Mus musculus: one gene and its partner. The protein of the gene in region 1 purifies or fractionates together with the protein of each later gene. This does not show direct contact. Links are inferred from orthologs where the notes say so. Each region holds a gene or a part of one and is shown on either strand. Other genes may lie near its edges.

Evidence for each region. Proteins that work in one complex are often made in the same cells at the same time.
Region 2: the proteins of Tulp3 (region 1) and Ift122 purify together in Homo sapiens (co-immunoprecipitation; 6 studies listed by BioGRID and IntAct, counting the BioPlex papers as one, with this or other methods). This does not show direct contact. The link is inferred for Mus musculus from reciprocal best matches to the Homo sapiens genes TULP3 and IFT122.

What each region holds. Positions count from the first base shown.
Region 1 is NC_000072.6:128,319,244-128,325,823, forward strand, and holds the end of Tulp3 (tubby-related protein 3), read right to left. Parts: coding exon of another isoform or gene 6,529-6,580; exon of another isoform or gene 6,335-6,528; intron 6,278-6,334; exon of another isoform or gene 5,836-6,277; coding exon 5,737-5,835; intron 4,927-5,736; coding exon 4,755-4,926; intron 3,970-4,754; coding exon 3,836-3,969; 3' UTR 1,918-3,835; downstream 1-1,917. UniProt on the Homo sapiens protein: Negative regulator of the Shh signaling transduction pathway: recruited to primary cilia via association with the IFT complex A (IFT-A) and is required for recruitment of G protein-coupled receptor GPR161 to cilia, a promoter of PKA-dependent basal repression machinery in Shh signaling.
Region 2 is NC_000072.6:115,850,833-115,857,405, reverse strand, and holds the start of Ift122 (intraflagellar transport protein 122 homolog), read right to left. Parts: upstream 3,879-6,573; 5' UTR 3,738-3,878; coding exon 3,697-3,737; intron 1-3,696. Other genes in the region: Mbd4 (methyl-CpG-binding domain protein 4), read left to right, coding at 4,196-4,269, 6,567-6,573. UniProt on the Homo sapiens protein: As a component of the IFT complex A (IFT-A), a complex required for retrograde ciliary transport and entry into cilia of G protein-coupled receptors (GPCRs), it is required in ciliogenesis and ciliary protein trafficking.

The sequences.
Region 1 (6,580 bases):
CCACCCAGCCTAGCCTAACCTCAGGACAGAGACGTTTTCTCAGAAAATGAGAAGATCACCTAAGGGTGACCCTTGAGGTTAACCCCGGGTCTCCACATGCATGTGTACCTTCACACACATGCACATGTGCACACAACACAGCCACCTACAAAACGGGTTACTTGTCAGGTATTTCCTCAACTACATAGATACAGGCTAGCCTAGGGCAACATGAAACTTTATCTTTAAAAAAAATCAGAGGCTGAACACAGTGGGGCACACCTCTGATTCCAGCACTCAAGAGGCAGTGTCGCAGGATCTCTGAGTTCAGGACCAGCCTAGTCTATACAGTGAGTTTCAAGCCAGCTAGGACTAGTTGTATGCCATATAAAGACCTTGTCTTTAAAAAGGAAGAAAAATTCATACAGCGCCTCACTACGTAGCCCAAGCTGGTCTCAAATTCGAGAGCCTCCTCACTCAGCAGCCCAAGCCTGGAACGGCAGGCACGTCACCATGCTCAGTGACTTGCTTTAAAATGGGGCTAAGAGTGCGACTGAGCATGTGCGAGGCCCTGGGCTCCATCCCCAGCACCAGAAGAGGAAAGTCTCTATCACGGAATGTAGGGTAAAACGTTACAAAAGGATTTGGACCTCAGCACTTGAGGCAGAGGCTGGACAGATGGCTCAGTGGTCATTTGCTCTTCTTCCAGAGAACCAGGGTTCAATTCTTGGTGCTCACACAATAGCATATAACCACCTGGAACTCCAGGTAAAGCAGAGTCAATGCCCTGTTACCTTCTCTGTGGGCACCAGACACACATGTGCACAACACGTGCAGGAAAAAAAAAAACAAAACAACCCATACAGAAAAAATTACTGAGACCTGCCTCCACACCCCCCCCAAAAAAAACCAACCAAACAACAACCCAAAGGTCATAATACAATTTTAGTCATATAAAATTATGCAAAAGAAAAAATCAGGCTATTAGGAACTAAATTCTCAGCTGGGGCTTTTGATTTTTTTTTTTTTTTTTTTGTCTTTATTGCTAACAGGAGTATCTTAGTCAGAGTTTCTATTCCTGCACAAACACACGACCAAGAAGCAAGTTGGGGAGGAAAGGGTTTATTCAGTTTACACTTCCATACTGCTGTTCATTACCAAGGAAGTCAGGACTGGAACTCAAGCAGGTCAGGAAGCAGGAGCTGATGCAGAGGCCATGGAGGGATATTCTTTACTGGCTTGCTTCCCCTGGCTTGTTCTTATAGAACCCAAGACTACCAGCCCAGGGATGGTACCACCCACAAGGGGCCCTTCCCCCTTGATCACTAATTGAGAAAATGCCCCACAGATGGATCTCATGGAGGCATTTCCCCAACTGAAGCTCCTTTCTCTGTGATAACTTTAGCTTGTGTCAAGTTGACACACAAAACCAGCCAGAACAAGGAGTAAAAGCTTAGAAAGGTCTGTGAGTGCAGACTTTCTCTCCACGTATCAATATCAGGTGACACAGTCCATTACATGTGCACAGAGCTCTTAGTCTCAGTGCTAGAGGCTGAGGTAGGAGGGGTGTGAGTTCAAAGGCAGCCTGGGCTGCTTTCCAGTATAGCCTTGAATAGCCACAAGATCCTAACACACACACACACACACACACACACACACACACACACAGTTTTACTGTTAGATCCAGGAGGCTGACCAGTGTCCAAGATGATTTGGCCTGGCCATCCTGGGCCCCTAGTGCAGTCTGCTGAGTTCCACAATTCATGCAGAGCTCCAAGATCGTGAGTATGACACTTTTATGCTGCCTCCTAAACTGGGTTCTTAGTCTGTGGTGCCCCCACCTCCACCCCAAAGACCCAATTCTGCTGCTACTTGGCTCAAAGAGCTTAAAGAACACAACAGGAGAAACCCAAGGGATGGTATTCTGGGAAAGCGACATCTTTATATAAATTATCTTTATTTATGTGGCATACAAAAGGTATAAATAGAATTCATGTAAAACCTGCACACTCAAGCAGAGTCCATGAAATGGGAGTATACAGCTCTCTAGGCTGGGCAGAAAGTCATAGCCCCACCCCCTTCAAGTGGAGACAGAGAGCAGTTTTCACTCAACAAAGGTGGCTCGTCTGGGAAAGCAGAGGTGTGTCAGGTTTCAGAGCACATTTATGAACAAGGCACTTGATGGGACGCCTGCCAGAGGCAGAGACAGTGACATCTGAAGGGACAGGCAAGACACTGGCCTTAGCACAGGTCTCACCTCCCAGATCTCACGCTGTAGTCGTCACACAGCTGTGAGCATGGAGCAACAGGATGCAGGGATGCAGGGACCTCCTCCATACAGGAAAAACCACGGAGCAGTTGCCAGTTTGAGAGTGGGGGACCACTGAATGTAGACCCAAAGTTTTTGAATTCTTAAGTTCAGGTACACTGTAGGCTGGGGACCTTGAGGAATTTGTCATGATTCGCTGGGAGATGTTCGAGATGTTCAAGATCTCAAAGACTCAGCATGCAGGGCAGTGTCTCCACTGGTGTGGGCCAGGTTTCGAGGCTGGAGGACAAAGCTGACAGGCAAAGCCTGTGGAGTGTCGGCGAGGTGACCTCCTCACCAAGACTCTTGCTGCCTCTAAGGAGACACTAGATTAAGATTCCAGAGAGCAAAGATTCCGAAGATCTGGCCACAGTCATGCTTCTGAGATGGCTGCCCACCAACCTACTCTGAGAATAAGCAAGAGGCAGGCTGGGGACAGCAGAGCCTTTCAGACCCACGAACAAACTAGTGTCACATGTCCCAAGATGATATATGACACTCTGCAGCCATAATCTCCATGAGGCAAAAGCTACCAAGAGTAGATTCGGCAAGAATTCCTCTTAAGAGTCTGTCTATGGCCAGGCACAGTAGTGTAAGCCTTTAATTCCAGCACTTGGGGGGCAGAGGCAGGTGGATCTCTGAGGCCAGCCTGGTCTACAGAATAAGTTCCAGGATAGCCAGGGCTACACAGAGATCCATGGGAAAAAAAAATAAAGTAAAAATAAAAATAAAATGTCAGTCTGCTGCTACTGAAAAGTAAACCACCCCCCGCCTCTCCACATCTAGCCTGGAAGATGCTCCAGCCTTGGAGGACAGGGACACAGCCAAGGCAGGCCTGCGAACCAGAGTCACAGGCCAAACTAGGCCAATGCCCACTTTGTAAATAAAGTTTTATTGGGACACAGCTACACTCTTTGTGCACCAACTAGTTATGGCTGTTTTGTGCTAAAGGACCTGACTGGGGTCAGTGCAAGAGACACTATCAGACCATTGGCTGAGGAAGGCTGCAGGCTCCTGGGCTAAAGGCATCCAAGGGAAAAGCCCCCTTTTGAAAGGGCCTTCAAAACAGGAGGCCCAAGTATTAAATCATTAGAACCTGATTCTGTTGGAAGTGCCCGAGCACATGAAAGCTACACTCACCACACAGAGTCTGTTGTGCGATCAGGAGACACCAGTGTGCCTGGGTGTCTACTTCCCTGTGCTTTAAGCCATCTCTCACACATGAGAAGTTGTAATCTATGACCAGGTCTCTGAAGTTCAGAGAAGGCATGAACGAGTACGTGGAAGCATGCATCCATGTGTGAATGTGTATGCATGTATAAACAAACACACACATGCACATTCACACACACACACACACTGGATCATTCACCAGAGGGGCAGAATGTTGCTCTTCTTGTGCTAGGGCAGGGGCAGGGGCAGGGGCAGGGGCAGGGGCAGGGGCAGGGGCAGGGGCAGGGGCAGGGGCAGGGGCAGGGGCAGGGGCAGAGGCAGCAGCTTTCTGCTCTTGAAGGCTCTGTGGTGAAGAAATCCCCTGCTTGCTGCTTCTCATTCACACGCCAGCTTGCTGTCAAAGCTGGACAGCCCGATGGCGAAGGCTTGAAGTGCGCACAGTGGGTAGTTATAGTCCAGTGTGAACACGTCATCAGCCACGCGTCCAAACTGCATGACGATGTAGTCAGCTGCAAACAGAAAGAGATGAACTCCTTAGAGCCAGTTCTCAACCTGTGGGTCGAGACGCCTTTCACGGGGCCCGCATGTCAGATATCCACGTTACGATTCGTAACAGTAGCAAAATTACAGTTATGAAGCAGCAGTGAAAATAACCGTATGGTTGGGGGTCACCACGATGTAAGGAACCGATTAAAGGATCGCAGCATTAGGGAAGCTGAAAACCACACTGTGTTGGTGGTCAATGTGGTTGTACTGGGAGGTAGGTGTGGGTAACAATAGGCAAATGGGGGAGGGGGGGACAGGGAAATGGCTCAGTGGTATAGCACCTGCCTGGGATGTGGGAAGTACTAGCCCTAGCCTCACACACAAAATCAGACAGAGAGAGAGAATCAGACAGAGAGAGAGAGAGAGAGAGAGAGAGAGAGAGAGAAGGAGGATCACAGCTCTCAAAAAGATAAACACATTCAATTTTCTGTCTGTTGTTCTCCCTCAGACTGGGAAATTACTCCTGACTAGCATGGAGGGCAGCAAGAAAGCCTAGAAAAGCCGGTGGGACCGGGACCGGAGGATGGATGGGCTGAAGTCACTTGATGGCTTTCATGAGGTCACTGGCACCTGGGTCCTAATGGCCTCACCCAACAGTCCTTTGATATGCCACGGAAAGACTCCTCTCACCCTGAGGAGCTATCTTTCCAAGAGATCATTTTCCAGTCTGGCTTCCGGGCCACCCCGGAGCTGGTCACTTCTGTGTCTGCCCCAGTCCCACCCAGCCCCGCCCCCCCCTCGCACTCACGGTCATTCCCGTGGACGATCTGGAAGTTTTTCACGGATGCCTGGGTGACTCTGCCGTGAAAGTTCAGCACGTAGGACTGGGTGTCGTCATTCCACACCGGGGCCTTGTTGTGCAGCTCGATCAGGTTCTCCATGGATTTGTTTTGCCATTTTGAAAGCAAGCTCTCGTGTTCCTGTGTGGAGGGAGAATGACTACTGTGTCATTTACTCATAATCCTGAGAGGCAGGGACAAGGCCCGCCTCTTCACTTCAGAAAGGTTGAAATCAGAGGACCAGAGGCCAACATCAGGCCAGGCCAGGCCAGGAGTCTTTTTTTTTTTTTTTTTTTAAATTCAATTTTTTCTTTCTTATTCATTTTACATCCCACAAACTGCTCCCCTTCTGGTCACCCGTGGAATTCCTTTTTAACATTTTTTTTTTAATTACTGATTTTTGTTTTAATTTGAAGTTACAGGTAATTGTGAGCCACCACGTGTGTCCTAGGAATTGAATCTGGGTCCTTTGAGAGAGGAACCAGTGCTCTTAACCACTGAGCCATCTCTCCAGACCCAGCCTTGAGATTCAAATGTTCTAGCATTTCTTTTTTTTTGAGGGGGTGGAGGTGGGGGTGGGGCTTCAAGACAGGGTTGTCCTGGAACTCACTCTGTAGACCAGGCTGGCCTCGAACTCAGAAATCTGCCTGTCTCTGCCTCCCAAGTGCTGGGATTAAAGGCGTGCGCCACCACTACCCGGCTGTTCTAGCATTTCTTAAATCAAAGTGTCTGGAACATCCTACTCTGGTGATTGGGAGCACTGGCTTTCCTGACGAAGATGACCATTCCAGCCTGGGCTTTCAGAAAAAGCAGTTCTCAAAATTGGTCTCTGCTGTACTCTGTTACTGCGTAAGAGGTGTATTGCTGTGGTTTAGAGACCTTTGCTGGTGGAGTGTAATTTCCCTTCTGTCTCTGCGACCTGCTCTCGCTGGGAAAATGTTTTTTACTTACATTTCGTGGCCTGAAAGGGATGCGCTCATGGTTCATGTTCATCCCCGGGATGATCACAGACATTTTCCTGGGACCTTTGAAACCGAGGACATTTGTTTCCTGAAAGACAGTAAAGTAGGGCAGAATTTGGAAATGGAAGGGAAAGAGAAACTATGTTCTACTTTCACGGGCAACGTCCTCTGGCACAGATAACGCAGCCTGCCCCAAGAGCGCCAAAACCAGTTCTGTTTCCTTGCCGGAACTAAACAGAGACCGAGGACTGGACAAGGAAGTCAGGCGTGGTGGCACACGTCTGCACACCCATGTCTTAGTACTTGGGAGGCTGACGTGAGACGATTGCTTAAGGCCAGGAGGTTGGGGCTAGCCTAGGCAAAGTAGTGAGCCCTTGTCATGAGAGGAAGGAAAAAAAGGAGAGAAAAGAAAGCCAGCCGTGGTGGTACACACCTTTAATCCCAGAACTCAGCAGGTTGAAGCAGGAAGGTTGAGAGTTTGAGGCCAGCCTGGAATATGCAGAAGGCTAGGGCAGACAAGGAGACCCTGCCTAGAAAGAAAACAACAAAACAAAAACAACAACAACCAAAAAAAAAAAAAAAAAAAAAAAAAAGGAAGAAAGAGGAAAGAGTGGAGGGAAGGAGGGAAAGATTAAATGCAAAGAGCTGGTTTTAATCTTAATTTATGTTTTACTGTAGCCTCTGACCAAAGCGTAAATTTAAGCATCAGTAAAGGAAGGCTAATGCAGAGTTGATCGTAACTGAAGTGGTCATCTAAATGATGTCAGCCCCTAGAAGGGGGTCAAGGAAACATGGAAGGAGGATGGAGAAGAGCCGGCTTGGGGGTCTGGCAG
Region 2 (6,573 bases), about 12 Mb from region 1:
CAGGAGATAGCTCACTGGGTAAAGTGCTTGCTCTGCAAGCAAGCATGAAGACCTGAGTTTAGATCCCCAGTATTCCAAGTAAAGCCTGAGCCAACAAGTCAAACCTGTAACCCCAGAGACTAAGATGGGCAAACAGGCAGGTCCCAGGGGCTTGATGGCTAACCAGTTTAGCTTAAATGGTGAATTCAAATTCACCGTTGAACCCTTATCTCAAAAAAATAAGATTTAAGAGTACTCTTTACTCTCGTAGAGGGTATGGGCTCCCAGCTCCTACATGGTGGCTCACAACTGTCTGTAACTCCAGTTTCAGGGGATCTGATTGCCTCTTTTGGCATCTGCTGATACCAGGCACTCAGGTGGTGCCCAGCATACATGCAGGCAGAACACCTACCTACATAACATAAAAAATAAGTAATAAAATAAGGTGGACAGAAATAGAGGAAGATACCAATGCCAACCTCTGACCTACCCATGCCCATGCACAGTCAAGTTCATCTGCATACATACATGCATGCACATTCCACACACACAAAGAAAGAACAAAAGAGGGGGAGGGGAAGTAAGAGGGAGAGAGGAGATGGAAAGAATAAGTTAAGAAGGATCTTTGGGTAGGAAAATGGAGTTTTTGGCTAAGCTCCAAGGCATAATCTAAATGTTAGCAAGCCTAGAGGCAAGAACGCCAGGGGACCACCCAGCAAAAGACATGGAAGGGGTCACTCTGGGTTTATGAGGAGCAGAGCAACAGAAGCACAGTATCAGGACCTGAGTGAGTTCTTTTGCTGGATGAAGAACAGACCAGAAGCACAAGCACAGAGCAGGAGCCTGTGACTGAGTCGGGGCGGGGCTAGTCAGGGCATCTGGGATGGCTGGATTCTATCTAGGTGTGAGTTTTGTTCTGTTTCCTTCCATTACGTCAGCTGGCATATGTAGCCATCATCAGGCTGCTGGCCTACAGAATCTCTGCACCTCCTGCTCTAATAGACTGCTTCAAATCTGTAACAGCCCTAAAAGCAGGTAGCCAGTCCTTACTGGTCTTTCATTCACTTATTCCTCCATGAACACACACACATCTACTCACTAAATACTAAAAGGCTCCAGAAACATTTGGAAACAAAATACAGCCATTGCTTTTACAAGGTTAAAAGACTTCTGGGATAAACAGATTAAAAAATAACTCTTACACCCAACAGACTCTTAAGCACAAGAGCAGAACGAACAAAATTCTGTGCCAGGGGTTGAGAACAGAGCAGAGCAGGCTGCATTTGACCAGCAAATGTTTTGCTTGGCTCACATGGTGTTTTACTTTGTTTTTTTTTTTTTTTTTTCTAATTAGGTGCCAACATTTAAAAAATCAGGACATTTCACACTTCAAACGCAGATTCCTAGCTTCTGGTAAAAATAGGAAGATCTGCACACACTAGGCCAAATTTCTACCCATGATAATTGGCAGGAGCAGAGCAGCAGCTGCCCCTTTCATGCAGAGTGGGAGCCTTCCAGTTTGCCACAGCCCTTGTTACTCCCTATTGCTCTGACATGGAAGCCAATGCTTGGTTGCCAGTGACTGCCACCTTGTGCACCGGTGCTCCTTTTTGTTTGTTTGATTGTCTCACTGTGTAGCCCTGGCTATGCTGGAACTCACTATGTAGACCAGGCTGGCCTCAAACTTAAAGAGCTCCAACTTCCTCTGCCTCCTGAGTGCTGGGATTAAAGACATGCATGGACCACCACCCCTGGCTGTGGGTAATCTTATACTAGAGTGAAGAGACAAGTAATAAACTCTGTTATTACCTCAGCACTGCTGAAGATGAGGCAGGAGAACTAGAAGCCTAAGGCCAGCTGGGCTACATGGGACCCTGTCTCAAAAAAGTATTATCAAAGCCTTCTTTAAGTGCTGAGCTATTTATTGAGGCATGTGTACCATGGAGCACTTTTGGAGGTCAAAGGGCAACTTGGTCCTCTCCTTTCACCATGTGAGCCCTAGGGATCGAACTCAGATCATTATCCTTGGCAGCAGATTCCTTCAACTGCTGAGCACCCTACTGCTAACCTCCTCAAAGGTGTTTATGAAAATGAAAGGCGCTGGCAAGGTGATGCGTTCCAAGTAGCAGGGTGTACAAAAATGTCCCGCAAGTAACAGAAATCCCTTCTATTTAATACAAGTAAGGGCCACCCATTCACGTGACTCACCTAACTGAAATCAGAGCCTGGGAGAACTGGCTTTGAAACAGGGTGGCCTGAGCTTGCAAGCTGGCTCCATCACACCCAGATATGTGTACCTATCTGCCCTCTCTATAAGTCAGTTTTCTCATCTGTAAAGTGGAGATAATGACAGTACCTACCTAGAGCTGCTGTGAAGAGACACTGAGGTAAAGGGCACAAGGTCTTAGCTAGTGTTGGAATCATGTCAGCACTAGCTGCTCTTTGTGCAAGTTCCTCCAAAGCCAGCCTTGAGGGACGTTCAGGATCTCAGGAAAGGTCTCACAAGGAAAAGTCTCAGGACAGACAGTGGTGGGGAACAGACCAGACCATCTAAGAAGACTCTGAGTCAAGCTGAGAATTAGTCAAGCCAGAATTTCCTGAAATGTGTTCCTGGCTGGTGGATTTTAATGACAAAATAGAATAGGATATCAAATCATACCAAATTAATTAAGATGACAGAGTCATTCTATTGTCATTCTCTCTTTTTAAAACACTTTTTGATTTTTTTTTAAAGATTTATTTATCATGTATACAGCATTCTTCCTGCATATACACCTGCTGGCCAGAAGAGGGCACCAGATGTCATTATAGATGGTTGTGAGCCATCATGTGGTTGCTGAGACTTGAACTCAGAACCGCTTGAAGAGCAGACAGTTCTCTCAACCTCTGAGCCATCTCTCCAGCCCAATATTTTTTTTTACTATATATTTTTTTCTTTTTCTTTTTTGTTCGTTTGTTTTTGTTTTTAAAGACAGGGTTTCTATGTGTAGACTTGACTGTCCTGGAACTTATCCAAAGTGCTCTTAAATACTAAGCCTTAATCCTCAGTATTTAAAATTAAGCTTTAAATTAAGCTCACTCTTAAGTACTAATTTTGAAAATACTCCTCAAACTTCCCAATCAAGAGATGTCTTGACTTGATCGCATCTTACATGTTTCTCTGACCGTACATGGAAATGTCCTGTTTCAGACACAGTAGATCTCAGCTCAGGTGGAAATGCTCAGAACCGAGATGCAAGTTACTCACACCGTTTTGTTTGTTCCTGCTCGAAAATTTTTAATCCCGGCACTGGGGAGCTAGAAGCATATGTATCTTTGTGAGTTCAACGCCAGCTTGGTCAACATAGTGCATTCCAGACCAACCAGAGCTTTAAAGTGAGGCTCTATCTCAAAAACAAACCAACAAAAACAGGAGAAATTTAAAGAATGTCAGATAAACAAAAGTGTGGGCACTTTGAGGATGGTTAGGAAGCTGAGAAAACACTGGTGGGTGAGGAATTTTGAGAAGAGAGAAGTGAAATTGGATGATGATGACGTATAAACTGCTCCAGCCTCCCTCAGATGATCCCTATGCCCCTCCAGGAATCTCAGCTTCTCTTCCATTGGGAAGTTGAAGGCACGGAATCAGAGTCCTCGGTCCAGGCCGCAGGCCCGTTGCCATGGCAATGCGCCGGTTCCTGCCGCCTCCCCGCCATCCCCGAAGTTCCCGCTCCTCACCACTGCTCCGCTTTGTCTCTCCACGTCAACACGGCCCTCATCGCCGTTTCCCTCACGCTTCGGGCCCCTCCTCCCAGCCTCGGCAGCAACAGGCTTCTTTCCACAAACCACTTCAGCTACCTGCGCTACCCTTAGCAACGCACATGCGCAATGAACCGCGCATGAGTTTCCCAAAGCTCCAAGTGCGCATGTACAAAAGGGAGCCCACCTCCTCCGCCGAAGCGCCGGGCGCGTAGGGACGCAGGAGGCGGAAGCGTAAGTATGACACGAGCGATTGGTCCGGAAAGGTGGGTGGGGCGGGGAGTCTTGACGACAGAGGGTTTGATTGGCGGGACCCTGGCTGTGGCATCTGTAGCTGAAGCGGTGGCGGGAAGGCTGCTGTGTGGGTTGATTGACTTTCACGTCGGTGTTTGGATTCGGCTCAGTGGTTTGAGTTGTGTTTTACTCCACCTCTCGGCCTGGAGCTGCAGCTGCGCCCCAGTGGACCAAAGCAGCAGGGATGGAGAGCCCAAACCTTGGGGACAACAGAGTCCGTGGAGAGAGCCTAGTTCCAGACCCGCCTTGGGATCGCTGGCAAGTTATTAAACCTCTCTCGGGCCTCAGAGGAGTCGCTCTTGTGTGGGTCTTCCTAACCTTTAACACAAGGTGGCACCTAGAGCTGTCGCCCTGTGGGAACAAGACTAGGGTGTACCCGATTCCTTGGCCGAACTGACTGGGGAGCTTGGAGGACAAGGGAGGTTTTGTGATGCAAGCAGGTTAGCCTGGGCCGGAAGGGACCCTCAGAAATAGCCCTATGACAAGTCACAGAGGAAGCTACTGTTGTGTCCGGGCTAAAATGATGCACGTATTTGCATGTCCCAAAACTTGGGCGCTCAAACACTTTTAAGGGCTGGGCATTTAACTAAGTTGGTAGTGTTTACGTAGTAAACACAAAGCCGAGGGTTCGAGCGACAGCACCGAATATCCGGGCTTGGCGGCGTCTGCCTGTGGAGGCAGGAGGATCAGAAGTTGAAGATGAGTCTCTGGTACGTCGTGGGTTCAAAGCTAGCCTATGGTACATAAGATTCCCGGCTCAAAAGCAAACAACAAAACTTTTTTTTTTTTAATGCTACTTCCTTTTTACAGATGGAGAACGGAGATTTTGAGCTCAAAGTGACTTTCTCTTTGGAAGATCAGCTAATAATAAGTAGCGAGCTGGGGTTTTGACCCATTTTGTTAACCTAACAGTTTTGTAGGGATTCCCTCAGGTTTCAGTTACCTTGTCTCCCTATAAGATCCTTCTAGCTGATACCTAACGCCAAATTCCATCTAAGAATGCCATGGTTCTAATTGTGGTTAGTCTCTAGGTCTTGCTTAGTGTCCCTATTTCCCTATTTGTAGAAAGTAGGTTGGGTTAGAAGGTCTCTCTAGAGACCCACTTTTTTTTCTTTATGTGTTTGTCTATATACGTAGGTGTTGGTGGAGACCAGAGGAGGTGTCAGGTTCACTGGCGCTGGAGTTGCAGGCAGGGTGTTATAAGCTGCCTGATGTGGGTACGGAGTCTCCTGGAATATGTGCTCTTAACCACTGAGCTATCTCTCCAACCCCTCACTTTTAAAATGTATAGTTTAGTGATTAAAATACACTGTACTAAACACTGGAGAGATAGTTCAATTGTTTAAAGCACTTACTGCTCTTCTGTAGGACCTGGGTTTGGTTCCCAGCACCCACAGCAGAGGCTCACATCCATCTATAACTTGGCTCCAGGGGATCTAAGTCCATTCAGGCCTCAGCACCTTCATGGTGCTCATAAATAAGAATAAATAAATTCTTTAAAGGGGGAAGAGATCCACTGCACTGGAGGTTTTGTGGGAACTATCCCCCCCCCATAACAGTATGGGAGAAGTATTAGGTGGGCCTAGGTTTCGGGGTCCACTCTGCAGGTGATTTGATTTTGTTATCACACAATTTGTCAATAAGAGTAAAATAATTCTTAGAGATTTATTTATTTATGTTATATATATGTTTTATATACATGGGGTGTGGGTGTGGGTGCTTTGTCTTGCATACCAGAAGAGAGCATCAGGTCCCATGTGATTACAGTTAGAAGATTGTGAGCCATCGTGTGGTTGCTGGGAATAGAACTCAGGACCTCTGCAAGAGTAGCTCGTGTTCTTAACAGCTAAGCCATCTCTTCACCACCCAATGAGAGTACATTTTAACCTCACAAAGTGATGAGAATCAAGACTGAAAGAGAGCTGGAAGTTCTTACCAGAAATTATGTAGCTTTTGGAGGGCCATGCTATTTTACAAAAGTGGTAGTTGTTGGTTCTCAAAAATGCACACATATGTGAAGTGTTCCCCTTACATGTTTGCAGGAAAGAGGGGGTGATTCATTTGAGCAGTTTGTCTGATCTCAGATGAAAAGTTCAGTTACTGGCTCATATCTCAGACTTCCAACAACTGTTATCAGAATCCTTTATTGAATCCCTATAGTGTGAATTAAGAAAAAGTTTAGCAGGTATACTGTGTGGAGAGTCCTAACATTTAAAAACCCATGTTGAGCTAGGCAGTGATGGTATATGCCTTTCTTCCCAACATCTGGGAGGCAGAAGCAAGCAAATTTCTGTGAGTTGGAGGCCAACCTGGTCTATGGAGTGAGTTCCAGGACAGCCAAGACTACACAGAGAAACCCTGTTTGAAAATCAAGGTGGAGGAGGACACTCATGTTGAAGGACAAGAAGTTGTTAGAGCTGGACAATCCTCATGGCACAAGACTAGCTCACTGACTTTAATTTGTATTTTATACAGTCTCATACTGCTGTGGGCAGAAACTGAGGAAGCAGGGTAAAAGCAATTTTAAGTTCATCACTTGGGTTTTGTTTTTCCAGCAAGGAA